3 linked regions of the Drosophila melanogaster genome follow. Changing the gene in region 3 together with the main gene of any one other region gives a genetic interaction. Each region holds a gene or a part of one and is shown on either strand. Other genes may lie near its edges.

Region 1 (4,262 bases), about 17 Mb from region 3:
GTGTACCGCTTATGTTAGAGAAGTTGAGCAACGGGTTTTTCGTTTTGCAGTCACGATGGATTTCCAAATTAGTGTAGGAGGGGGGAGGGGAGGGAGGGAGATAATGTCCAGGCTGCCATAAGTGGGGAATAAGGAAAATAAAACATGAAACACGGGTCGGGCAATGTCATGCGGTATTCGGCTTTGCTTTCCGCCCAAGTTGAAGTGATCCTGTGTGTAAATAATGTCGAATGTTGCCGGTCGGTTGCATAAGCGTTAGTCAATTATGCCAAAGAGATCTGATTTGTGGAAGCTTTTTTTGACCACTTAGCGCGCTCCGCTTGATGTTGTTTTGTTTTGTGCTGGGGCAGAAAACTTGTTTCAATTATTGGGAAAAGTGCGTATAAATCATTGCCGCAAGCTCTGAAAAGCGAAAAAGAAAAACAGTAACCAAACAGACAAACGCAGCATCCCCCCACACAATTAAGCAAAAACTTGAAAACAAGTCAATTCGAAAAAAATTATAGGTTCAACGGCTGCAGCGATCGCATCATTAGTTGCGTTTTTAGTAAATACACCATTTCATTACACAACACACACAATTAATTAATAAAACTGTACTGGTTATTTCAAGTGTGTCTTTTAATAAGCCTGCCGATCGCAATAAATTCGAGCAGCATTGCCGGTAATTTTGTGCAACATATTTTTCGATTGCCACACCGTGTTTGTTTATTTTTCTGTGGGTGCAATGATTTAGAATGCGGGCAAGGGATCAAGTTGAACCACTTCTAAGAAAAAATAGCATTGCATAAATGATATAGAGTCCAAAAACTACACAAATTCAATAGCAGTAATGGTTACATTAGCTTTGAAATTGTTTTTAGACATCCGAAGAAATAAGATTAAATTTAAACGGCATTCTTTAATTTGTATTTTAATATTTTGAGAGGTTTTCCTTATTTAAAGTGTAGATTATTGAGGATTAATGCAAACCACTTTATCTGCGGAGGTCGTAAAACGTATTTTTACCCATTTGCATGTTTATTATGCGTGTGGCTGGTTGTATTACTTTACTTAAGTTTTGCAATTTTTTCTTTAGCAAGCAGGTGCATTTGGGCCAAGAGATATATGCGATCGCTTTCGGTTCGAATTTTTAACATTTACTTGCGGCGATGGTCATTAGAGCATTACCCACTTAGGGCACCCCCAACATCCAGTTGATTTTCAGGGACCACAATATTTTAAATAACAGCTAGTGGAATTACCTAAAAGCGCTTTCGTCCCTTTTGAAATTTTATGTAACACTCAATTATATTTATGTATATGTATGCTCAAAATCACCTGCCAATAACTAGCGGAAACCAAATATTTGACCCTCAGTGAATTGTGAATCATCGGTGACGCCCAATCGAAATCCAATCCTAAGCAATTGAAACGAGCACGAGTTCCAATTTAATAGTATACAAGGAAACACCTGCTTTAAATACTCTACATAGTACACGTTATAATAACGATTTATTTGATATTTCTGGATTTTTGTCTGCATGTATTTCATATAATATTGATTTGATTTTTTTAATGAATTGAACTAAAAAATCATATTAGAACATTTTTTGCAGTCGCCGATAAAGATGAACACTGTTCTCAGAACACAACTGTCATGTATTAAGCTTTCAGATTTTCAGAAATTTGGAGAGCAATGCATTCTATGCACGAGCCTCCTGGCCTTACAATTTACTTGTTTGAAATTAGATCGTCAAATAAAGTCCCTAAAATTAAATAAATAGTAGTCACAACTTTAAAATAGGTCTTAATCTTTTAGGGTACCGAAAGGTATTTCGGCACAAATCAGCGCAGTTTTAAATGTCGATGAAGGCCAAAAATCATACCAAACCCAGCGAAAGGTGATGTCTGACTCATTAAATTGGGGGATTCGAGTGTATTTATTAAACATGCGTGAAAATCAATCATGGAAGACAAAACGCAAAGTTGGCCGATCTATGGGAACAGCATAAGCCACCTGATTACCCGAACACTGAACCACCCGAATCACTAAAACCACCGAAGTTGGCGCGCGCCTTCGTTTTCATTTTCATTGGCCTGTCTTCGTCTTCGGAGAAAAAAAACTTCATATAAAACGCGGCCGACATATTATGGCCACCAGTCGTTACCGCGCCACGGTCCACAGAAGAGGATTAAAAAAATATCACACAGCCGAAGGCTAGAGAAGAACCCCCTATAGCTGAACATATATAAACAAATATATTTTTTTTTATTGCCAACACACTTTGGCTTAAGTGTTAAGAGTGATTGTCAGCTTAGAGCTAAGTGCACTGTTCCAGGACAAAGGGTGGATCCTTGTGACCCTGATCACCTTGGTGACGCCGTCTTGGGCTGCTTACAAACTTCAGGAGCGATATAGTTGGAGCCAGCTGGACTTTGCTTTCCCGAATACCCGACTAAAGGACCAAGCTCTGGCTAGTGGAGATTATATTCCGCAAAATGCTCTACCTGTTGGAGTCGAACACTTTGGCAATCGGTTATTCGTCACTGTTCCCCGCTGGCGTGATGGTAAGTGGAAGTTAAATATGAAGCCCTTGGGGAGATCGTAAATGGGACATTCTTACTTAGGGCATCAGAGATATCTGATTGAGTGGTTGACAGTTTTATATGGCTTGTTTGACATGATGTAAAAACACAAAATTCATTTAGTTTAGGTATTCAAATAAGAGCTTGTTATTTATTTTAGAATTTGGAGAACATTTTTTTGTCTTTCTACCCTTCTTAGAAAATAATATTGTTTTGTACAATTTAATTTTAAACTAGTACAGACGAAAAATGTATTTTTTTATTTGTATGCCTTTTCACCATTTTGGCAGAGGAATAAATATGACAATATATTTTGAGAGCACCCTCATGTAAAGGTTTTAGCGTGGCGACCTCTCATAAATCCGGTTGGTACCTGCGCGTTATTTTAACATTTTAAACAATTAACCGTTGTAAAATCGAAGCCAATAGCATGGCATTGGCTTTATACTGTATTAAATTGTATTATATTACCATCCGAATTGTAAAGACTTCTTCAGGGCCGCCACATAGAAATGGAAATCCAATCACAAACAATAACTTATGGCATTAGCTATTAACCGACGATTAGCTGTCAGTTCAACAAATGTAAGAGTGGCGAAATGTTTAAATGCGAAGGCATTGTTCTGTGACTCACGTTTTATTATTAATCACACAAATGATTTTGCTTCAAAATTATTTGGCTTACACAATAATCAAAATTTTTATGAAATAGTTGAAACACAAAACTAGGAAATTTTAAAAAGCAATGAAACTAAAAAACCCAATTGCTAAGATTATATGATGCGCATACAAATACTTCAGTACGTCTAGGAATGCTTTCGATGATTGATTAGTTTTTATGCATGGCTTACAATTGGTATTTACACAGAAAAACACGGCGATGTTAATAAATTTTGTACATATGTTCTTAAGCAGTCCGAAACACCCAAACTTCTGACTAAACTTAAAAAAACACGCTCTTCAAGGATATCTTAATGTCACTTATAATGTAATGGTATTGTATTATTAAGTATATCAAAATATTCTGGCCCAGCCTTGAGGTCTCTTTTTAAAAAGATATCGACTGACTACCTCCAGTCAATGAAATAATAGCCCAGAAGGCCGAATCGGCAAAAAATAAACCCCAAGTTACGGCAAACAAAACATAGTGAAAGTTGTGGCAAAGTGGAACATTTAAAGGCATGCTTCAATGGCCATCGAAGCAAATCAATTAGTCAAAGCAAATCGGTAGTGGCAACAACAGGCTACAGAATACCTATAAGTGACAGTTATGGGGTATGATTAATTATAAATATTATCATTGACCACCAATGCTGGGCTCAATTGGAAAAACTATTCTATGAAGATTTGAGTAAATAAATTTTGATTTAAAAAAGCCCATGGTTATCGCGACAACTAGCTACGGGACAAGATTACTGTTTAAAATCAAGTGTGAAATATCAAAATCAAAATCGGATTCCGATCGGGAAGTTGTATCCGATTCTGAAACTAAAACACAGAATTGCCAACATTTTCCGATATCGACTCAGCTCACGTATTTCATACAGATTCATTAGGCCACCAGCCATTGAATAATATACCCCAGTCAATTGAGCTACTCGATAGTTGATCAACTTAGCTTTTGTCAACGAGTGAACGCATAAACTACTACATCAACGATATTTGCGGCCCATTCCAAGCTAAAAGTTCATCTT
Region 2 (4,262 bases), about 15 Mb from region 3:
GAGAGGTAGACGCGAAAAAATGTAATATCCGTTTTCAGGCACTCCTCGAGCAGAGCGAGATGGCCATATGGCTGGGAAAGAGATAGAGGGACATGGCGAAATTGTTTTCACAACAAATGAGGCCGAAAAATGTTATTAAAAAGTTTTCTTTTCTTTTCTGTTTTCGCCGTCCCTTTCCCACTGGGTTTTCTTATCTCCCTGCCTCCTCTGGTTTACTCTCCCACCTTTTCCCTATTTTCGTATTTTGTTGAAATAAGTAGCGAAAGATGCTACATTTCATATTTATTTAATTTTTTGGCTTACTTTTTTTTTTATTTACTTTGCGTGCTATTTTTGAATTACTTACGAAATACGAAGGAAACTCGAGGAGTGGGCGCTAGATGGCGCTGTGCAGGGAGGCGAAGGAGTATCGTGATGAACTTGACAAATTGAAATGACTGAATAAAGAAGCGACTCAATTTGTTGTTCCTCCCGTTTTGTCGATTGTGCGAGTGGCTAATGAGTGCACTCAAAAGTCATTCACTTTGATGAGAACGAAATACTGAAGGAGGCGCAATTATTCAGCGGAAAAGCTGACGACCACTCGATATTATTAAGGAAATATCAGAGCGTAAACGGCCCAATATGTACATATATGCAACGAACATATAATTAAAGATGGCTTCAAATATTCCATACATATCATATTTTTCAATACTTTGTTACCTTTACTGCGTTACTTACTTCCCAAAAGAATTAAAGTTCTTATCTCCTTGTATAACTTTTTGAGACTTTTCAAAATTGTTTCAAAGAGCCCGGGGCTAGATATGCAAATCGTACTCACTTATTTATTTTGTTATACAAGCCGAGGTGCTAAGAATTTAAAGCAAGATACGCACGAAGATACCTAGATATCAGATGCTGAGCCCAAAGCATTCGTCTAGCCAAATAATGACCCAGATAAGACTAGATTGTACATTTTTCGTCGAGCGAGACGTGCAAACAACGAGGTATTAAGATCAGGTAGAAGATGCGAGTACACAACCAGAAATGGATACGGATACAGTATCTAGTATCTTGGCAAGCCTAGAGTTATAGACACCCAGCAATGTTGTTGGCCAACTTAAGCCGACTCCTCCCACGCCACCACTGGTTATGCGTCCCTAATTACGATCTACTACATCCAACTATTTGGGGTCGATGTATAATGTAGTGTAGTGTAGTGTAGTGTAGCAAGAAAATATTTGAGAATGAAAGGTGGAAGAAATGAGGACTTCATGGTAAGCTTAAAATATCTGGTTGTTATATTTTTTGTAAAAAAGAATATAGTCGAAAATGAATGCCTTTAGATGTCTTGATCATGATATGATCTCAAAAATTGTCTTATATAGCGAGAACAGCTACCAGAATAATCTGTTTCGTGTCACTATTTGTTTGTGCAATTGCGGTTTGGGATTTTTGTGGGTCGCAGTTCTCACGCCGCAGACAATTTGATGTTGCAATCGCAGTTCCTATAGATCAAGTGAACTTAAGATGTATGCACATGTACTACTCACATTGTTCAGATGCTCGGCAGATGGGTGTTTGCTGCCTCCGCGAATTAATAGCTCCTGATCCTCTTGGCCCATTGCCGGGATTTTTCACACTTTCCCCTGCTTACCCACCCAAAACCAATCACCACCCCAATCACTCAAAAAACAAACAAAAATAAGAAGCGAGAGGAGTTTTGGCACAGCACTTTGTGTTTAATTGATGGCGTAAACCGCTTGGAGCTTCGTCACGAAACCGCTGACAAAATGCAACTGAAGGCGGACATTGACGCTACGTAACGCTACAAACGGTGGCGAAAGAGATAGCGGACGCAGCGGCGAAAGAGACGGCGATATTTCTGTGGACAGAGAAGGAGGCAAACAGCGCTGACTTTGAGTGGAATGTCATTTTGAGTGAGAGGTAATCGAAAGAACCTGGTACATCAAATACCCTTGGATCGAAGTAAATTTAAAACTGATCAGATAAGTTCAATGATATCCAGTGCAGTAAAAAAAAAAAATGTTTTTTTTATCTACTTTCCGCAAAAATGGGTTTTATTAACTTACATACATACTAGTGACAACATGTTTATGTTTAGCTAATGTGTTCCGTTCAAAATAATTAAAAATTCGACCACCTTTGCACCAATATGATAGTACCCCACCTGGGCAGTACTCATAAGCTGAGTGGCTGTCTTTGAATACTGATTAGGTTGAGTGGGAAGCGTCTTCTTATCGTGAATAAGAGAGTTCTTGTTAATCCGCCTGTTGTCGTCCCGTTTCGGGGGTTTGCACTGTACTTTGCATGCATGATTTATCAAACGGCGACTGTTGATGATGCGCATTCCGCACTCCCCGTTTCCCGTACGCCTATCCGCACCCGTACTTCGGACACTCCGGTCGTTGTCGTCATCGTTAGCACCTCATCTCAGGCCCCGGAATCATGAACTGCCGCCATCAGCTGTCCGGGCATTATCAATCTTCATCATCGGGGCCAGTTGGTCCAGGATATGGATCTCGACTGGGACGGGTTTTCCGGGAGGCTATCAATACCATTTTCACGGACGATGTGGTAACAGGTTAGCAGTTGCAGTTGCCGAGGAATCTGCAGGAATTAATTTGCTGACGACGATTAAGTGGTCTTCAAATGAATATGGTTTTCTTTTGAGAGTTTAGCTCAGAATAATAGCTTTTGATTCGATTTGCAAGTTAATTATGCATATGCATGTGATATTTGTAGAAGTCTCACTCAGCACTAGTAACATTATTTCATGTGCCAGTTTTAATGCATATATGTTCTGCTCTACAACAGCTTCAAAGTTCGAAATAAATGATTTTCCTATTTCACTGAAGATCTTTAGCTGACTCAAAGTTAGATGTATGTACGATTCGTAAGAGACTTCCTTTGTGGGCCGATCTAGCGACAGACAACAAAGAAACGTCAATGTTTCACTCATTTTTGCCAACTAACCGAGTTTTTCGCTCAGTGACACTTATGGGGCTTCTTCGATGTTGGTTGAGTGGAGCTCGAATCGGGTTTAGACCGTCTTGAAGTTCGTGTTCGTGTGTGTTTGCCATTACTAACTCACTCAAATGCTGTAAACTTTTTGCACTTAACAATTTATTGTCACTCGCCTGTCGCAGCAGCGAAAGAGCTGAAAAATGGCATTACAACAAAAAGTGCTTAAAACCGATTATGAAATGCTCTAAGGGAATGCTGTAATTAATTAGTTTGCCGTTTTTATGCGCTCTAAATCAATAATAAAGTTAATTGCATACGTATAAGTATGCAGTTCATTTTTTTTAGAGTGGCCTTAACTTGATTTTTGCTTATTAGCCCTGCAATTGAACATTTTTTTTTGCCCTACCTTTGGGATTCTTTAAATTGGTTTGCTATTCCACAATGCAATGCAATAACACCGTATTGAAAAGCGAAAAGGAAGTAACTTGAACTGAGGCGTAGAAAGTTTTTTTCAACACACACTTTTATACTCTCTCCGCACAGTCACACCTACATACATATGTATATATATATATATATATATATATATCGGCAAAGGTAAGTCCCCAGCCATTGTCACAGGAAGTGCGGTCTGGTGGGGGGTTGGGGGGGTTGGTCTGGGTTGACTTAACCCCCAGATTTTCTTGCCTCTGTACGTTTAACCCATGCAAATTATTGACGCGGACAGCGGGCTCAATAAATCTGTGTATGTGTTTGTGTGTGTGTGAGTGGAGAAACTTTTGCTAGCTGCACGCTAATCAGACAGCTTTCTAGTTCATTGCTTTGGTCCCCCTTTCTAAGGGCCACGCCCCCCCTCCCCTCATACCAACCTCAGCCGGCGCCCACTTTCATCTAAGGCACTCAGTTGGCTGTAATTGCAAAGTAAATCAGCGCTGCCATTTGCCATGCCCCGAAAAGTACGATCCATGGAAAAAGTGGCAAAAGTGGTAAATGGTCGGTGGTGGTGGTGGGGGGGTGGGGTACTGGAGTTTTCCGGGGGCCAAGGATAATGTGAGAGGGCTGCTGCCAAAGTTTGGGCAACTTTTAAAGAGAGGAATGTGTTATGGGTTCGGGTCACATAGTTAGTTAGTCGCACAACTTCAAACCAAATGACGTCGAAGCCATGGAGTTAAACGTTTGTCAGCCATCGAGGTGAAGATTTATGGGTAAGTGCCAAGAAAGATGTGAGGTAAAAGTTTACCAGATATTCCTCGGTTACACCCGATTTAAATTAGCCAAGATCTGTGCAGAGC
Region 3 (4,262 bases):
CCGGAGTACTATCTGGAGGATTACCTGGAGGTCTGTCGCTCTGGGAACTACGAGCGCCTGGAGCAGTTCGTGCGGGAGATTGGCTTCTCCGCCTACAGCGTTGGCCAAATGATGGAACAGTTCGTCGAGTTCATTGTCCATCATCCGGGGCTGAATGATCCGCAAAAGGCCACGATCTGCGATAAGCTGGGCGTACGTACTGACTGCATAGATAGATATGATTCCTCTTGTTTATTGCTGCCTTTATCCCACAGGAATGCTGCTTTCGACTGCAGGACGGCGGCTCCGAGTATCTGCAGATCATGGACCTTGGCTGCTGCATCATCTTAGCTTTAAAGTAATCTCATCCCACTCAGCACATTCATTACATGTACTTTATCCGCGACTGGAGTCTAAAATAAATGTTATATTTAATATGAAAATCTGGTAGTTGTATTTGTGTATAAAACGTAGATTTCATAATGATTAACGGGCGAATCTATACTAAGGTTTTTGGGACTTCACATTCGAGTTGAAATTTAGACCCCCAGTTCGCTCAACCAAATGCAAGTGCTTTGGTCTGGTTTAAGAATATTAATTTAAGGTAAATGATGTCGTTTCGCTAGTTGGTCACAAACTCAAACTCCTCCTCCTCACGTTCCCGCTTGACGGCCACTCCAACGCCAGATGATCCTCCTCCTCCTCCTCCTCCGCTGGCACTTCCTGCTCCCGAACCGGATGCGCCAGCGATGCTGCCCACGGCCGCCGCATCGCTGTCCACCTCCATCTTGAGATCTCCGCCGGCGCCGGTGCTCTCGCTCTTAACCTCCTGACCACCGCCGCCCCCAGATCCGCCGGAGCTGCCCACCGTTTTCGTTGTCGTAGTGGTGGTAAACTTGATGACGGGCTTGGGAATGGTCACCACCTGCTGCTTGGCCACCACGGAGTGTGGCCTCTTCGGACCATTGGCGCTGGAGACGGGCTTAACGACGGTCTTCAGTGGACGGCCCTCCACCGCCGACTTGGTCATTTTCTTGGGCTGATTAGTGGCCCGCAGTTTGTAGTTGACGCCGGTGAGACAGTAGCGGTCGGGCGGCAGTCGGAGACCGCAGTGCGGCTTAATGGGTGGCAGGGGCATGCTGTTGCGCACGTCGGCCACCTTGGCTAGAACGTGGCGCTCCAACGGCCCGGTGAAGCTCTTGTCCAGCGTAACCTCGGTGGCCAGACGCACGTCGTCCAAGTCGATGGTCTTCTTGCGCGCATGGTTGGCGTACACCTTGGCGTCGTCCAGAATGCAGGTTACATAGCCTGCAATGCAAGACAGCATTTAGGAAAATGATGTGGGAAAAGCAAGGCATTAATCGCCGCTTACGGAAGGTGAACTCCAGCAGTTGGTTGACCACGCGCGGCTCGTACTCCTGGACATTCAGCTCCTTCAGGATGGACATGATCACCTGCGCGTCCTTCGGCACGTGCTTGATTTGGGCACTGATCTTGGCCTTATCGGACTTCTCTGCGCTCATACTTCTATAGTTATTATGTTTACGTCGGCTTTGCTGCAAGAAGATTGTTTATTCCATTGAAATTGTGCACGTACATATATACGGGTCTATCGGAAATCGGTGAGCTTATGCGATACTATCGATGCAGACGTCTAGTGTGGAAAACGCCGCTGGACTGCAGGGTGGCAACTCTGGCTCTGGCCATTTAAAAAAAACGGCTAAATTAGAAATCGATTTTTAAATGTAGGAACAAATCTAATGAAGCTTATCCAAAATATTAAACAATAAGCATATTTCTACCAGATCACATAACACCACATTGGCATAATAGGTGGACCAATAGGTGGAATATTAACTATCAGAAACAACAATTTCAAAATATTTCGGAATTAACGAAACGAGAACAAATGGCAGAGTGAAATGAAGACTACAATTCTGTTTAGTTTTAATAAAGTCAAAAATTTCTCTCACACGACTTGATAAGCTTATTAACAAAACTTGAATACCCCAGTTGTGGAAAAACAAAAACGAAGTCCCGCCAAAAGGAGCTAAAAACTGTTAAATTAACGTAAGAAACTTTTATTCATTAAACGTACAGCTCTACATACAATATGCACTATACTTGGAAGACAATTGAAGCTTGTCGCGCATTATTACATTCATATACATTGTACAATGAAACTTTTAGCTTAGATACATACACATATTTCTTTATTATTATTTTAGATACGCTACATGTACGTTACGTGCTACAATAAATTAACTCTTTATTGTTCCGTCTTTAAATCGCCATCTCGCCGTGGTCAACATATAAAACCATCCATCCATTCGTCTCTCTTAGATATTTGCAAAATAACGCGCAAACAATTCGCGCACCAAAAACTTGGACGCAACTTTGACTCAAGTCCCACGATCAGTTATACATACAAGCATATATATATATACTATATAGCTCTATATAGACTACAAACTAGATTCTTGTCGAAAAAAAAAATTGATGCTTTAAGTAATATTTTCATTGTCAGAATGTATGCGTTTTAAGATTTCGTTAGCGCTTGCTCTATTTTGATTACTGGGGAGGGCTACCAGGTTCCCTCCTGGTCATGATTTGTGATCTCTATGTCTCTATAACTCAATTGCAGCTGCTGGCTGAAGCTGGCTGGCCCCTTCGGGTGTGCCTCTAGTAGTTGTAGGGTCCGTACTGCGAGCCATGATAGTAAGGTCCTGGGTAGATCTGCGGCTGGGCGTAGTTGGCATAAGGGGGATAGGGTGGCTGCTTCTGCGAGTAAACTGGAAATGGAAACCGAAAATTAGTCATTAGTTATATTAGAGGGTCAGCACGATGGACATACCTGGCATCAGGTACTGCAGGTTCAGCTGCTCCTCCTTCTCCCGCTCGTTGCGCAGGCAAACGGCCGCGCCGGAGAGCAGAATGGACGCCAGGAGACAGGTTCCGATTCCTGCCCAGGCCACGATGTACGACCAGTCGTAGGCGATCTTCGTGTTGTCGCGCAGGACCTAATAAATCAAGATATTCATCATTAGTTAATCCACATACATGCCCAATGCAGCTGGTGTACATACCGTGTTCCACTGCTGGAAGTAATCCTCGCCCACGACCTTCTCCTTCTCAAAGAACTCGACGGTGTGCCAGAGTCCCATGGCGCCGGCGGCCAGGAGACAGGTGACTAGCAGCAGTATCGAGGTGGCTGTGATGGCGCCCGACGACCGCTTCCAGCAGCCGGATAATCCGGTCCAGAACGCACAGAAGATGGTCACAAAGCTGATGATGAACAGAGCGATGCAGGAGCGGGCCAAATGGAGACGCGATGTGGCGTCCTCGTTGGCGATCTTCTCGTCCTCCGCCTGCGGGAAGTAGTCGATGTTCGAGCAGTGTGTCTCGATCGGTGACAAATAGGTGGGCACTGCGCGACGGGAATGGAAATGGATTAAATAACTCCCATGTGATGTAAAATGCAGCATTACTCACCCGCTGAAACTGGCGGCCGCTCCTTGGGATAGCAGATCCGGAACAAGCCTCGTGTCCTCGTGTAGTAATAGTACTTCACGTTCATGTTGTGCAACAACGACTCCGCATCCGAGTGCTTGGCGGCAAAGGACTGAAATCGAAAGGATAGTCCATATTAGCTAAGCTCAATTGCAGTTCAAAGTTATGGTTACAAGTGTTTGAAACTATCCTATCTTAGCTCTTAGCTCTGGCCCTACCCATACTTGTCTTAATAGCCACACATTTATTTATAGCCCGCGGATTAACCTTCTTAGGGAATTAGCGCCGCAATTCAAGCTCACGTCGCCAATTGTTATTCAATCGAATTGTACACTAAGCCCCCCCCACCCCCTCACCATCACATTTTCAATACATACTCATTAATAAAACCTGTTTCCGCCCCCTCGTGGGCGTATCTTGATAATGTGTCCAACTACCTCGCCCCAGACTCCATTAACAGTCGCAATCCCAGCGAGAAATACAGACAGTCAGCATTGAACCGCTGTCGATCATCATCATCCGGTCATCTTAACGATATACGGATGTTCGTACGGTGTGGGTTCGTATATGCTATATGCTATATGCTATATACTATATGATGCTATAGGTGCTATATGGCATACGCTCAAGTGTTGTATGCTATATGGCCCTAGTATCAGATTGCGTGGCAATTTGAACACGTTCCGCGGTTTTCCATTGTTTTTTTTTTTTTTTTGGCATTTGCTGCTGGCTTGAGCAATTCTCGAGTGCGGGTTTACGACCCAAGGTTCATG

Evidence for each region.
Region 1: of Taf9 (region 3) and y, changing one enhances a phenotype caused by changing the other (phenotypic enhancement), as found in Drosophila melanogaster (2 studies listed by BioGRID).
Region 2: of Taf9 (region 3) and w, changing one enhances a phenotype caused by changing the other (phenotypic enhancement), as found in Drosophila melanogaster (2 studies listed by BioGRID).

Annotation. Positions count from the first base shown.
Region 1 is NC_004354.4:354,368-358,629, forward strand, and holds the start of y (yellow), read left to right. Parts: upstream 1-2,141; 5' UTR 2,142-2,312; coding exon 2,313-2,550; intron 2,551-4,262. UniProt on the Drosophila melanogaster protein: Controls the pigmentation pattern of the adult cuticle and larval mouth parts.
Region 2 is NC_004354.4:2,794,702-2,798,963, forward strand, and holds the start of w (white), read right to left. Parts: upstream 1,766-4,262; 5' UTR 1,608-1,765; coding exon 1,536-1,607; intron 1-1,535. UniProt on the Drosophila melanogaster protein: ATP-dependent transporter of the ATP-binding cassette (ABC) family which transports various molecules including bioamines, neurotransmitters, metabolic intermediates and second messengers.
Region 3 is NC_004354.4:17,839,499-17,843,760, reverse strand, and holds Taf9 (TBP-associated factor 9), read right to left. Parts: upstream 1,601-4,262; 5' UTR 1,503-1,600; coding exon 1,352-1,502; intron 1,288-1,351; coding exon 602-1,287; 3' UTR 413-601; downstream 1-412. Other genes in the region: CG8142 (uncharacterized protein), read left to right, coding at 1-192, 255-341; CG6398 (uncharacterized protein), read right to left, coding at 2,662-2,771, 2,834-2,999, 3,066-3,406, 3,472-3,601. UniProt on the Drosophila melanogaster protein: TFIID is a multimeric protein complex that plays a central role in mediating promoter responses to various activators and repressors.